Arabidopsis thaliana: one gene and its partner. The protein of the gene in region 2 interacts with the protein of the main gene of each other region in a biochemical or structural test. Each region holds a gene or a part of one and is shown on either strand. Other genes may lie near its edges.

Region 1 (6,690 bases), 6.8 Mb from region 2:
AATTAACTGATCAACTTGATAACGTGAGAGATGAAAACAAACAAAAACAACACTTTTTTTTTTCTTTTCCTAACTTTAGAACTTTTGTGATTTCATAAAATTTTGGTTTTACAAATTCATAAAGCAAAAAAAGGAAAAAAAGATGATTACTATAGCGAATATTCGTCAACAAACTTAGTCACTTTGCAACTAAACCCACACTTGTAGTCTCTGTAGAGTGTAGTTCACCTTTTTGAGCATTCGTCGCTATGTTTCCACATTTAAACCATAACAGTTGGCCCAAAGAAAAAGTGAAAGCTAATGGGCTTTTTATGTTACTAGGCTTAACCCAGAAAATGACATACAGCTAGCGATACGACATTGGTTTAGCTCTGCAAAACGCTCTATAGTGTCTGTCTGGTCAGAAATTCTTCGACTCACTTTCGGTTTCTGATGTTTTGTCTCTCTGATTGAAAAAGGTAAAATCTCTTGAATCTATATCATATCGCTAAGCTTAATTTGCTGGCTAGGATTTTACCTGATTTTTTGGGTATATAGTGATGATAGAAATTTGAAGTAATTTCTCCAGTTTTCTCATTGATTTAGGGGTTTTAAATGTAGACTTAGTATTCATGAATGAGTTGATTTCTAATTGATATTATCATGTTAATCATCTTGAAGAATTGACCTTGAATTGGTGGTTCATAGATGTCTCATCTTGTACAATTTATTTGCTCGAGGATCTTATGATTCTTGGACATAGTGGAACAAAGATAGCTTTAAAAATGGACGCTGAGATGATTACTTGGTTGATGTATAATAGTTTGGTCTCTTAATTAAGGTTTTGATGGTCCTTAAGGTTAGTGTATAGCTTCTATAGAACTTTTTAGTCTCTCCTTTTAGATGGTTATGACGAATTGACGATTGTGTTATTCACGAGATAATTTGCATCCGAACATGTAAATGTTACACACTTGCAATATTGGTGTGCATGGAGAAATTATAGATTGTGTTAAGTGTTAATCCCAAAATGCATCTGCTAAAAGTGTTGCATAATCATCTTGTTGACTAGATAACTTGTTTTTGTGGTTTGGACAATGTGACGATACTATATATGATGTATGTAAAGATCGGGTTTTGCAAGATGGGAAACAAAGCTACAACGGTGAAAGAAGAACGCGAAGAGATCCATTTGAAGATTGTACCTCCATTGGACAAAGTTTTTCTGCGTTGGCTCGCAAGAGATCTCCAGAGAGTTCATGGATTCAAACCGAAGAACAACACTCGTGCGATCACTCCTCCAGATAGCTACATCGAGTTTATGCGGTTAAATGGATCGCTTGATGTAGATTTAGATGACCCTGATCTTGCCCATTTGTTCAAGTAAAAAGGGGTTCTTCTATTGTTGTCTCTGTTTGTTATGTATGAAGCTTTCAAAGTCTTAGTATCTTTTTTGATTACTCATACAGTCATACTTAAAGCTTGTGTTTTGGAAGCTCAGTCTATAAATATATATTATCTTCTCTAAACAGTATAGCATTCATAAGAGATCCAAGTGTCTGCATTCAGACGACACATGTTTCTATTGTCTTGGTGCTATGATTTGGAATCCCTATGTTTCGAGGTTCCATTTAAAAAAGTTGTTAAATGATGAGACACTCATGAGCATAATTTTCATCAATATAGTTTTGCCTCACCTATGAATTAAAAACAAAAAAACGTATAAGTTCGACAGATTTTGACGATAATTGCTCACACTTAACGCGTGTAACGGATGCTGCAACAGTTTGATGAAATTATTATGCTCCACTTCTTAACATGAATAAATCCAAAATTCATTTTTTTCCCCTCAATCTCAAGGAAATAAAACTGTATCCAAATTAGTTACATAGCTTTATTAACTTCGTTGACTTTAAAAAAAAAAAAACTTACTTAAAATTTTATAATTTTGTATTATATATAAAAATAGGATTATTATTATTTAGTAGAGAGATATTGGTAAAAAGATTTGTGTACAAAGAGAGAGATAAAGAGCGCTAATTCCCTCCACATCAGTATTCAGAACCAAACGCAACTCATTCCCTCGTTTTCTCTCTTCCTCTTCCACCGTCTCTTTTTTTTTTTTTTTTTATAATCCTTCCTCTTCTTCATCTTCTTCTCCTCTCCCGCTTTTTTTCGATTCGCCGATCTCTTCACATTCTCTTCCCGGAATCTCCGTAATTCCCGCCGTAGATCTGCTTCTTAATCGTTATTGGGATCTCTGCTTACCGGAGATCCGAGTTTCCGTGACAATTTTCGCCGTTTCTTTTTTTTTTTGGGGGATTTTTTATCGAGATTCGTTCTTATGTCTGAAGAAGTACCTCAACAATTCCCATCTTCTAAGCGGCAGCTTCATCCTTCTCTTTCTTCTATGAAGCCTCCTCTAGTTGCTCCTGGTGAGTATCACCGGTTTGATGCGGCGGAGACTCGCGGTGGTGGAGCTGTTGCTGATCAGGTTGTCTCTGACGCGATTGTGATCAAATCTACTGTAAGTCTTTTTTCTTCTCAATTTTGCTTGTGAATTTTGCTTTATAATTCTCGTGTTTTCGATTGTGTGTGAGGTTTGGTTTTATTGATTATGATTTTGATGATGTCGTTGCTTTAGATTTTGATGAGAATTGTGTCGGGATCTGCTTCTGTTGGTGTTAATTGCGTTTGGTCTCTTTTGATTAACCTTGTTTGTAGTATTGGAATTAGCATTGCAAGTACTTATTGAGTAGTTTAGTTGCTGGACTTAGGGTTTGTGGTGTTACTGTTATTGCTATTTAGAGCAGATTCATGCACTTTTGTGTTTATGTTTAGTTAAATTAGTTTCTGAATTTTGCTATGTTGGAATTGGTAAAAGTTGTGTCTATGCTTTTAGATTTCAGCATAGTGACAGTATGATGCTGATAGGATTTGATTCTGTTCAATTCGTTGATGTATTTAACTGTTCAATTTTGGTGACTTTATTGGCAGCTGAAGCGTAAGACAGATTTGGTAAACCAAATAGTTGAGGTCAATGAATTGAATACCGGTGTTCTTCAAACACCTGTATCAGGGAAAGGGGGGAAAGCCAAGAAAACTTCTAGGTCTGCGAAGTCTAATAAGTCTGGAACGCTAGCTTCTGGCTCTAATGCAGGTGAGTTTGGTTCTAAATGCTCTGTGTTAGTATGCCAATGAGAAATATTTCTTATGTGCTCATCTGAGCTAAATCTTCTTTAAAGAGTGGAGATATTGCAATGTAGTGAGAAGGATCTTTTGTGTTGGCAGGTTCTCCTGGAAATAACTTTGCACAGGCCGGTACTTGTCGATATGATAGTTCGTTAGGTAATAACTTATTTCATTAACTAATGTTTAAAAAATGTACTTTTGGATAATAAGTTTTTTTAATGATTTAATCTGCTTCAGGTCTTTTGACAAAGAAATTTATCAATTTGATAAAACAAGCAGAGGATGGTATTCTTGATCTAAACAAAGCAGCTGATACTTTAGAGGTGACATATTTGAACTCTAGACTCCCATATTGATGTATTACTTTCTGTCAAACTTAGCTGTATGTTCCTGTTGATGCAGGTACAAAAGAGAAGGATATATGATATAACCAATGTGTTAGAAGGAATAGGTTTGATAGAGAAGACGCTTAAGAACAGGATTCAGTGGAAGTAAGCATGTCTTAGAACTGTCAAATCTTGGATTCCTTCCATTTGATGACTCATGTGTGAGCGACAGTACTCTGAATTTTCTTGTCTGTCTTAGGGGTCTCGATGTCTCAAAACCAGGAGAAACAATCGAAAGCATAGCTAACCTACAGGTACAGAACATGCCTATATATTCTTTACCTTTTCATTGCACATTTCACTGCGAACTCTGTTATGCAATGCTCAGTATTATCACCAGTTTTATTATTGTTTTCACGTTAAGGGTATATCTTAGCTTGCATTGTCTTCTTGAACATCGTATGAATCTGCATTAGTATGATTCTTGTTATGCCTGTTTTCTGAGAGCTAAATGTGTTAGGAGGTAACTAGGATACTAGTAAATTTACCATACACACAAACATCGATGACATGTAACCACAAGCTCTGTTTTGTATACCCGTACTGGCACCTTTGAATGATGAGTTTCTGTTTTATGTTTGAACCTGTTGAATAAGTGGAAATTGGTACTGCAGTTTTTCTTCGATCTCAGTCACTTGCATTGATTTCTTGTTTTGGGTTTTTGGTTCGAAAAACTATTCATGTTTTATAATTCCTGTTACCAATCTTACAGGATGAAGTACAAAACCTCGCAGCTGAGGAGGCAAGATTAGATGACCAAATCAGGTATTTTCGCAGATAATTTTCCTTCCCTTTTCTGCTGTTTTGTATCATCTTTTTGAGAGTCGACCTGGTTGCAGAGAATCACAAGAAAGATTAACAAGCTTGAGTGAGGATGAAAACAACAAAAGGTAAGCGTCCCCTGCTATTTCTTCTGCCGAAAGGTACAATAAAACATATCTGTTTGTTCTGACGCTCCACTTTTTAGGTTACTGTTCGTCACTGAAAACGACATTAAGAACCTACCATGCTTCCAGGTCTGGTCTCCTTCTAGTAATTACGTGTTTCTCTTTGCCTTGCATTCTTCTCACTGGGGAAACATGTTTTTGTGGTGCCTATTTTAGAATAAGACGCTGATAGCTGTAAAGGCACCGCATGGAACAACTCTTGAGGTTCCAGATCCTGATGAGGTAAGCTTAAGAGCGCACAAAACCAAATGAGCGATGCACTGTCTGTAACGATTCTCACCTCTTATCCTGCCATTAATCAGGCTGGTGGTTATCAGAGGAGGTACAGAATCATTCTGAGAAGCACAATGGGACCAATAGACGTGTACCTAGTCAGGTAACACTGTCCTCAAACGTTATGCTTGCCCTGGATAAATCTGTAACATGGAAGTGAGACTGACATTTATATTGTGCTTTTTTAGTCAATTCGAAGAGAGCTTTGAGGACATTCCTCAGGCTGATGAACCTTCAAATGTTCCTGATGAACCCTCTAATGTCCCTGATGTACCTTCAAATCTTCCATCAACATCTGGTCTCCCTGAGAACCATGATGTATCTATGCCGATGAAAGAGGAAAGCACCGAAAGAAACATGGAAACACAGGAAGTTGATGATACGCAAAGAGTTTACTCTGACATCGAATCTCATGACTTTGTCGATGGTATCATGAAGATTGTTCCTCCAGATTTGGATGTAAGTCCCAACTGCTTCCTCAGCTTAAAATTTTCACCAATGTACATAATCACAGTCTGGAAAAGTAACCATATCTAAAAAATCATGCTTGACTTAATTCATATTTACCTGTATGTTACATTATATACAGATGGGTGTAGATTACTGGTTTCGATCAGAGGTAGGCGAAGTCAGCATCACAGACATGTGGCCAGATGAATGTATCCTTGATTTCTATCACTTTCTGTGATTTAATCTAATCTCTCTTTGAGCTTTTGAGTTTTTTCCTCCCCAAATATGATATCTGTTTAGAGCTCCTTGACTCTTTCATCATTAGCTGGACCAGACTGGAACCAGATGATTACATTTGATCAAGACCACGCTGGACCGAGCGACAACAAAATCTTGGAGCAGCCACAAACTCCATCGAGCCCAACACCAGAAGAATCCACTGCTACGAGATCACCTACAGGTAGCTGAAGTTACCATACCACATTACAAGCACCACCATATATCTGTACATAGAATCTGATTTCGGTGAAACCAGAGTTAATGTTGTACTTGTACAGTAGCTGCATTGCATTATCATAGAATAGAGATTGCAAAATAAAAGTAGAGAAACCAACCCCTTCGTTGTATTCTTCATTTTTTTTCTTTGTTAGCTTCTCAGGCTTAATATAGAATTAGCCTTAGCCCATTGATTTCTTAATATTGGTCTTGTTCATGTGAAACTGCAAAACCTTTTAGAGTTGTAGACGGGTGCTTAGTAGTTTTACATGCTCCATTTCCGGTTTACCAAAAAGGTAACCAGATCGAAACTAAAACATATTTCCGTTCATCAAAAATCTTGACGAAAACATATTGGTTCGGTTGTGGTTTGAGAGATTTCTTTTTGGTTCAAATCGGTTTCTATGTCCAATCCTTTGATATCACTCGAGATAGTTTCTTACAAATGATATCATATATAACTTTGAATTCACCTCAAGATGGTATTATTTTCCTTAAAAAAGAAATCCATCAAAATTGTGCATCTCCAAAGCAATGAGCAATGCTGAATCTCCAAGCTAAGTTAAATGAAAAAAAGGTTCCTCTTTTAACAAACTTTCCCACACCAACATCCTCACTCAATAATCTCAACTTGTTTTCTCTTCCTCTAGTAAAAAAAAAAATGTCTTTCAAGAAGATGATGAAGTATATACTCAAAACCATATTCAAACCCATTTTTATGGCATGCGGTTGCGGCTCTACCGTTCCACCTTCCTCTCACAGCCACTACACCCCGGGACCACCGGTTTCTCCCACGGTTTTACGCAGCCCATGTCCTAAGATCGATGAGAGCGTCGCGATGGCTAAAGAATCAATCAATCCGTTCGAAGATTACAAGAAGTCGATGAATCAGATGATCGAAGAGAGATATATCGAGACGGAAAGTGAACTTAAGGAGCTTCTAAGGTGTTTCTTGGACATAAACCCTT
Region 2 (5,285 bases):
ACATTGTTGGTGATTAGTTGAGTGATATGATTACTAATCCTAAAATATTATTTAAATCAATTGTAGTGACGAATTGCATTATTGTGCCCCCAGTGAGTGTAACAAAATTAATACTATTTTTTATGTATAGTTATTTATCCATTGAAGTAGGATTATGCGTCATCATCAGTGTTTAGTATACATCGGCCTACGAATTTAATTAACTAATCCAGCTTTGTTGACTATCTAAGTGTATTATAAATTCTAAAACAATCGAATCAAAGAGTTTGAGGATAACTACGAGGACAACATATTTTTTACTTTAAAAAAAAAAAATGCATTTTGAGTCAGTTTTATGAGTATCATATTAGCTTGTTGATGTATTTCACCATGTCAGTTTTTAATTTATGAAGGCGAGTAATGATTGTGTAAAAACAATTTTGGGCAAACATAGGAAAAATATAAAAAACATATTAAATTTCCAAAATTAAATAAATAGTCTATTACTCTACTAGATTTCAGATGTTAAGAAAGAAAAAGCTACTGGAATAAATACGCATACCATATGATACGGTAACATTATTTTGTTTATTGTATGTTCAGTTCCTCAAGGGACACTTGAACATTATGAATAATATATTTACTGCAATAGATATAATTGTTTATGTGATATAAACGAAAGTTGACAAAAAAAGAAGACTAATTAAAGAGTAGAATTAGTGAACCAAAAAAAAGAGAAGAAAGAATCAAACATGACTTTAAAAACTCAATAATTGAGATCTGAGAAGACATTGAAGATGACCCCAAAAAGATATTGGGAGTTGCCACCTCTCATCTCCCAAAACAACGACAGATATACAAACAGCAAACAAACATTTAAATAGATCACACTATTTCTTTTTTTTGTAATGACAAAACATATATTTATATATTCTGACAACACATAGAAACATCAAAGTAAACAAATCAAATTTGAAGTTATATTGTTTCAAAATCTTATGATAGTGCATAGCTATGAATAGCATGAGGAATTGATTAGTCCATACCGGTCTGATTAAGGTATACGAGAAGGAAGGTATACATAAAGGTTAAACAAAAAAAGAGGTGAAGAAGAGAAACATGGCTAGTGAAACTCTAAACGGTTGGAAATGATGATGAAGCAATGAGTAAGAGAATGACTCTCCGCAATCAAGCAGCGTAGGAACTAGGAACAGCTTTGGTTCTCATGGCCATGCTCCAAACTTTCTTATCAACTCGAACTAGTTAAAACTACAAACAAAATAATTTAATTTAATCTTCATATGGAGAGAAAAAAAACAATCATGGAGAACAAGTGGCAAGTACCAAGTGGTTGCAATTATCATAAACATATCCTTTTTCAAACTTTAAAGCTTTTAATCGGTTAACAACTTGAACAAACAGTTATGCTGAAATTTATCATATAGTTTTCAGTACTATACGAGTACGATCATCGTATAAAGAAGAAAAAGAAAAAGGATCAAGCAACTATGCATATATTCTTTCGATCTAGTGAAAGTGCAACGCAACCTTCTCACACGTTGCAGGCTTAAAGCACTAACGTGTAAAACTATAAGCATCTTAGAAAAGAAATAAAAAGTATATGAGAATAGTGAGTTTTTTTTTTTAATAGTTACAAGTTGATGATACGGACCATGTCTTATATATAAGACGAAAAAATCATAAACTTTATAAGCTAGCGATAATGTTTTCAATAACTTAAATGCATACGTACCAAACATTTTTTCAAGATTCAGTGAACTTAATATTATTATTTTTTAAACAATTGGATCGAATACAAACACAACTGTCAACATATGTAATAGAGACAGCCAAATTTTCATTATTTATTTGGTAACGTTATCGATTATCAAAGAGTTTAATACGTGATCGATTTTAGACATATAATTAGCCCAACGGGCTTAAAATTACAAAGAGTTACAAAAGGCCCATTTAAATCCCCCGCCAAAGTTGAAAAACGACACCGTAGCGGTTGGGTTCGAACACAGAGAGTGCGTGTGTTTTGTTTTTGTTGAGGCTTTTGATGGGCTATGGAGAATTCTGTGTTTGTTTGTTGTTACAGTTTGTTTGTTTGTTTATAGCGGGAACTCTCACCCAAAGTAATTTCATCTCCGATTTTTTTTTTTTGGTTGTTGTTCGCATCTCTGTGTAATAAAAAGAGTAAAACCAAAACCCTAGAAAAAAAATCTCCATCTTTTTTTATTCCGCCATTGGAAGATCGATCACTGGTTCGTTCTTTGATCTTTTGAAACGGATTCGAGCTTTAGCCTTTATTTCTCTGAACTAGGGTTTTCTTCACCATCGTTAGATCTAATCCAACTGGTTGATGATTCCCATTTCATAAATTTTGTTTAGCTTTTGTTAAAAAATTGAAATTGGAGCTGTCAACAATTTAGGGTTTTTTAGATTGTGTCTATTGATTCATCGGTTTTAGTCAACGATGGATTTGAGACATGAACAACTAATTGATTTGATTTCGTGTAGCTAACTTTGTTAATTGGTAAATTGTGTAGAGAAGGATGAGTATGGAGATGGAGTTGTTTGTCACTCCAGAGAAGCAGAGGCAACATCCTTCAGTGAGCGTTGAGAAAACTCCAGTGAGAAGGAAATTGATTGTTGATGATGATTCTGAAATTGGGTCAGTGTTAATTATTCTTCTTACTCACAAAGTCTCTGGTTTTTTTACTTGGAGCTAAAATGTCTGTATTGAATTTGTGTTTAAAAGATCAGAGAAGAAAGGGCAATCAAGAACTTCTGGAGGCGGGCTTCGTCAATTCAGTGTTATGGGTCAGTGATATATCTCTCTTAGCTCAAACATGCCTGAAGTGAAAGTATTGTTGTTTTGCTGATTTTGATTTAACTTCACACAGTTTGTCAGAAGTTGGAAGCCAAGAAGATAACTACTTACAAGGAGGTATTACTCTCTTTGTTCCATTAAGGAATTGGTGATGTAATCAATGAGTTTTCAGTTTAAGACGCATTAGAATTGATCTTTATATGAACAAGTATTCACTTCAAGAAGCAATCCTCTAAGTTAGTTGTTGAGCATTGTCTCAAATTCTTCTTCTAATCAGGAGTCTTGCCCTTATATAGAGGCATTGTATCAGAAAATGTGAAAATCTACGTTTGAGACTGTGGCTCTTGTGATTCCAGGTTGCAGACGAAATTATTTCAGATTTTGCCACAATTAAGCAAAACGCAGAGAAGCCTTTGAATGAAAATGAGGTATAGCGAGATGGAAAGCTCATATCATCTGTCTTGAGTTATTTGGAAAAAAAAAAAGCTATAACAACATTCTCTTATGTTCAATCAGTACAATGAGAAGAACATAAGGCGGAGAGTCTACGATGCGCTCAATGTGTTCATGGCGTTGGATATTATTGCAAGGGATAAAAAGGAAATCCGGTGGAAAGGACTTCCTATTACCTGCAAAAAGGATGTGGAAGAAGTCAAGGTTTAGCTTCCAAGCTTTTCCTTTCAGTTATCTCATCTATGTAATTGCTCTCTCTCTTCGTCTTCTCTACTAATCTCTCTACCTCTATTTGCAGATGGATCGTAATAAAGTTATGAGCAGTGTGCAAAAGAAGGCTGCTTTTCTTAAAGAGTTGAGAGAAAAGGTGATCTTCTTTCTGTTTGATGGAAAATTTAAATACAAGACTCTCTTAGAATTTGAGATCTTGTTATGCATGTCAATAGATGACAAAAGTTATTGATATTGCAGGTTTTCTAGAATCCATAGATACGTCGTGTATTGAATCATTTTATGTTGTCTTAATGAAATGTTAAACCGTCTTTCTACGTTTTGCTTATAATGTTACTCAAATGTTGTTATCATCAGGTCTCAAGTCTTGAGAGTCTTATGTCGAGAAATCAAGAGATGGTTGTGAAGACTCAAGGCCCAGCAGAAGGATTTACCTTACCATTCATTCTACTTGAGGTACTTCAAAAATCTCTTTCTCGTCCGTAGTTTCTATTTCATGTTTTTCGATATCCTAATCTATTTCCATCTCTATAGACAAACCCTCACGCAGTAGTCGAAATCGAGATTTCTGAAGATATGCAACTTGTACACCTCGACTTCAATAGGTAAAAATAAACAACATTTCTTCTCAAAATCAAAATCAGTTCTGCTATCTCTTAAATCGGAATTGAAATCTTCGTAAATTTTGTTGTGAGCAGCACACCTTTCTCGGTCCATGATGATGCTTACATTTTGAAACTGATGCAAGAACAGAAGCAAGAACAGAACAGAGTATCTTCTTCTTCATCTACACATCACCAATCTCAACATAGCTCCGCTCATTCTTCATCCAGTTCTTGCATTGCTTCTGGAACCTCAGGCCCGGTTTGCTGGAACTCGGGATCCATTGATACTCGCTGACCGAGCTTCTATTCCCAAATTCTTCAAGAAGAAGAAGTAATGATCTAATTGGTATACTAAAAAATTATACATCTGGTTTAGTGTTCAATTGAGAGAGACTGTAAAATCAATTCATAGGCCAACAAATGTTTGTTTATCCAATTTTCCTTTTTATTCGAACTTGATGCGATATTTCAACGGAAACAGAAACTATTGTTTTAAACCAAAACTAACCGTGTTGAATCTATTGGCTATTTTCCTTCTGTTTGATTGGTCTAACAAATTTAGTCTCCGGTTAGGTTGGTTTACCGAAGCTAGTTAGATTCAATTTACGCGCTTAAATGGCGCGTGTGCTAGGAAAGTTCAAAATTTGCAATTCCCATGCAAAAATAATGTTTTTTGTCTGGAAAAGGAAAAAAAGAGACATCGCGGCGGTTCGAGGGAAAGAAAAGCGAAATTGGTTGGGGACACTTCGGAAGAATGTTGGACTGTTTTTCAATTGCCGTCAAAATAAATACTATATACTATTCTTTTCATCAACTTAATCTACTCATTCTCAATACATTTTAAATCAATATCATCTAATATTATTTAGTAATTAGTGTTGGCCCATTTTAGTCCAATCTATTAGTTACTTGTTTAGTTAAAGTTGAGGTATATAGACGTACTAAAATTCAAGCACAACCAATTTCTCTTCTGTATAATTAGATTTGTAGCTGATATAGTCCACAAAAGCAGTAGATATCATATCAGCCCTAATTTTCTTATAGAACAACTAAGATATATCACAATTGCAGTTTTCTCTTGAATACCACTAAGTACTAACGTCACCTAGATCCAATCCTAACGTTTATCATCTTTTATTTTATTTTTCGATTTTTTGCATGCTAATTAAAACGTTTCTAAA

What was found. Proteins that work in one complex are often made in the same cells at the same time.
Region 1: the proteins of DPA (region 2) and E2F1 form a complex in vitro, tested with the Arabidopsis thaliana proteins (one study listed by BioGRID).

The regions. Positions count from the first base shown.
Region 1 is NC_003076.8:7,358,426-7,365,115, forward strand, and holds E2F1 (E2F transcription factor 1), read left to right. Parts: upstream 1-2,109; 5' UTR 2,110-2,323; coding exon 2,324-2,506; intron 2,507-2,976; coding exon 2,977-3,139; intron 3,140-3,270; coding exon 3,271-3,327; intron 3,328-3,408; coding exon 3,409-3,494; intron 3,495-3,573; coding exon 3,574-3,662; intron 3,663-3,756; coding exon 3,757-3,811; intron 3,812-4,269; coding exon 4,270-4,322; intron 4,323-4,396; coding exon 4,397-4,447; intron 4,448-4,524; coding exon 4,525-4,573; intron 4,574-4,660; coding exon 4,661-4,726; intron 4,727-4,806; coding exon 4,807-4,880; intron 4,881-4,965; coding exon 4,966-5,236; intron 5,237-5,366; coding exon 5,367-5,436; intron 5,437-5,552; coding exon 5,553-5,695; 3' UTR 5,696-6,080; downstream 6,081-6,690. Other genes in the region: AT5G22210 (aspartyl/glutamyl-tRNA (Asn/Gln) amidotransferase subunit B), read left to right, coding at 1,124-1,366; OFP10 (Ovate family protein), read left to right, coding at 6,264-6,690. UniProt on the Arabidopsis thaliana protein: Transcription activator that binds DNA cooperatively with DP proteins through the E2 recognition site, 5'-TTTC[CG]CGC-3' found in the promoter region of a number of genes whose products are involved in cell cycle regulation or in DNA replication.
Region 2 is NC_003076.8:541,676-546,960, reverse strand, and holds DPA (Transcription factor DP), read left to right. Parts: upstream 1-2,005; 5' UTR 2,006-2,246; exon of another isoform or gene 2,247-2,531; 5' UTR 2,532-2,537; coding exon 2,538-2,656; intron 2,657-2,743; coding exon 2,744-2,805; intron 2,806-2,888; coding exon 2,889-2,932; intron 2,933-3,171; coding exon 3,172-3,243; intron 3,244-3,331; coding exon 3,332-3,472; intron 3,473-3,566; coding exon 3,567-3,635; intron 3,636-3,856; coding exon 3,857-3,955; intron 3,956-4,033; coding exon 4,034-4,104; intron 4,105-4,197; coding exon 4,198-4,399; 3' UTR 4,400-4,643; downstream 4,644-5,285. UniProt on the Arabidopsis thaliana protein: Involved in the regulation of the G1/S transition. Increases the DNA binding and the transactivation activities of E2F proteins after heterodimerization. The complex DPA/E2FA promotes cell division and acts as a regulator of the endocycle.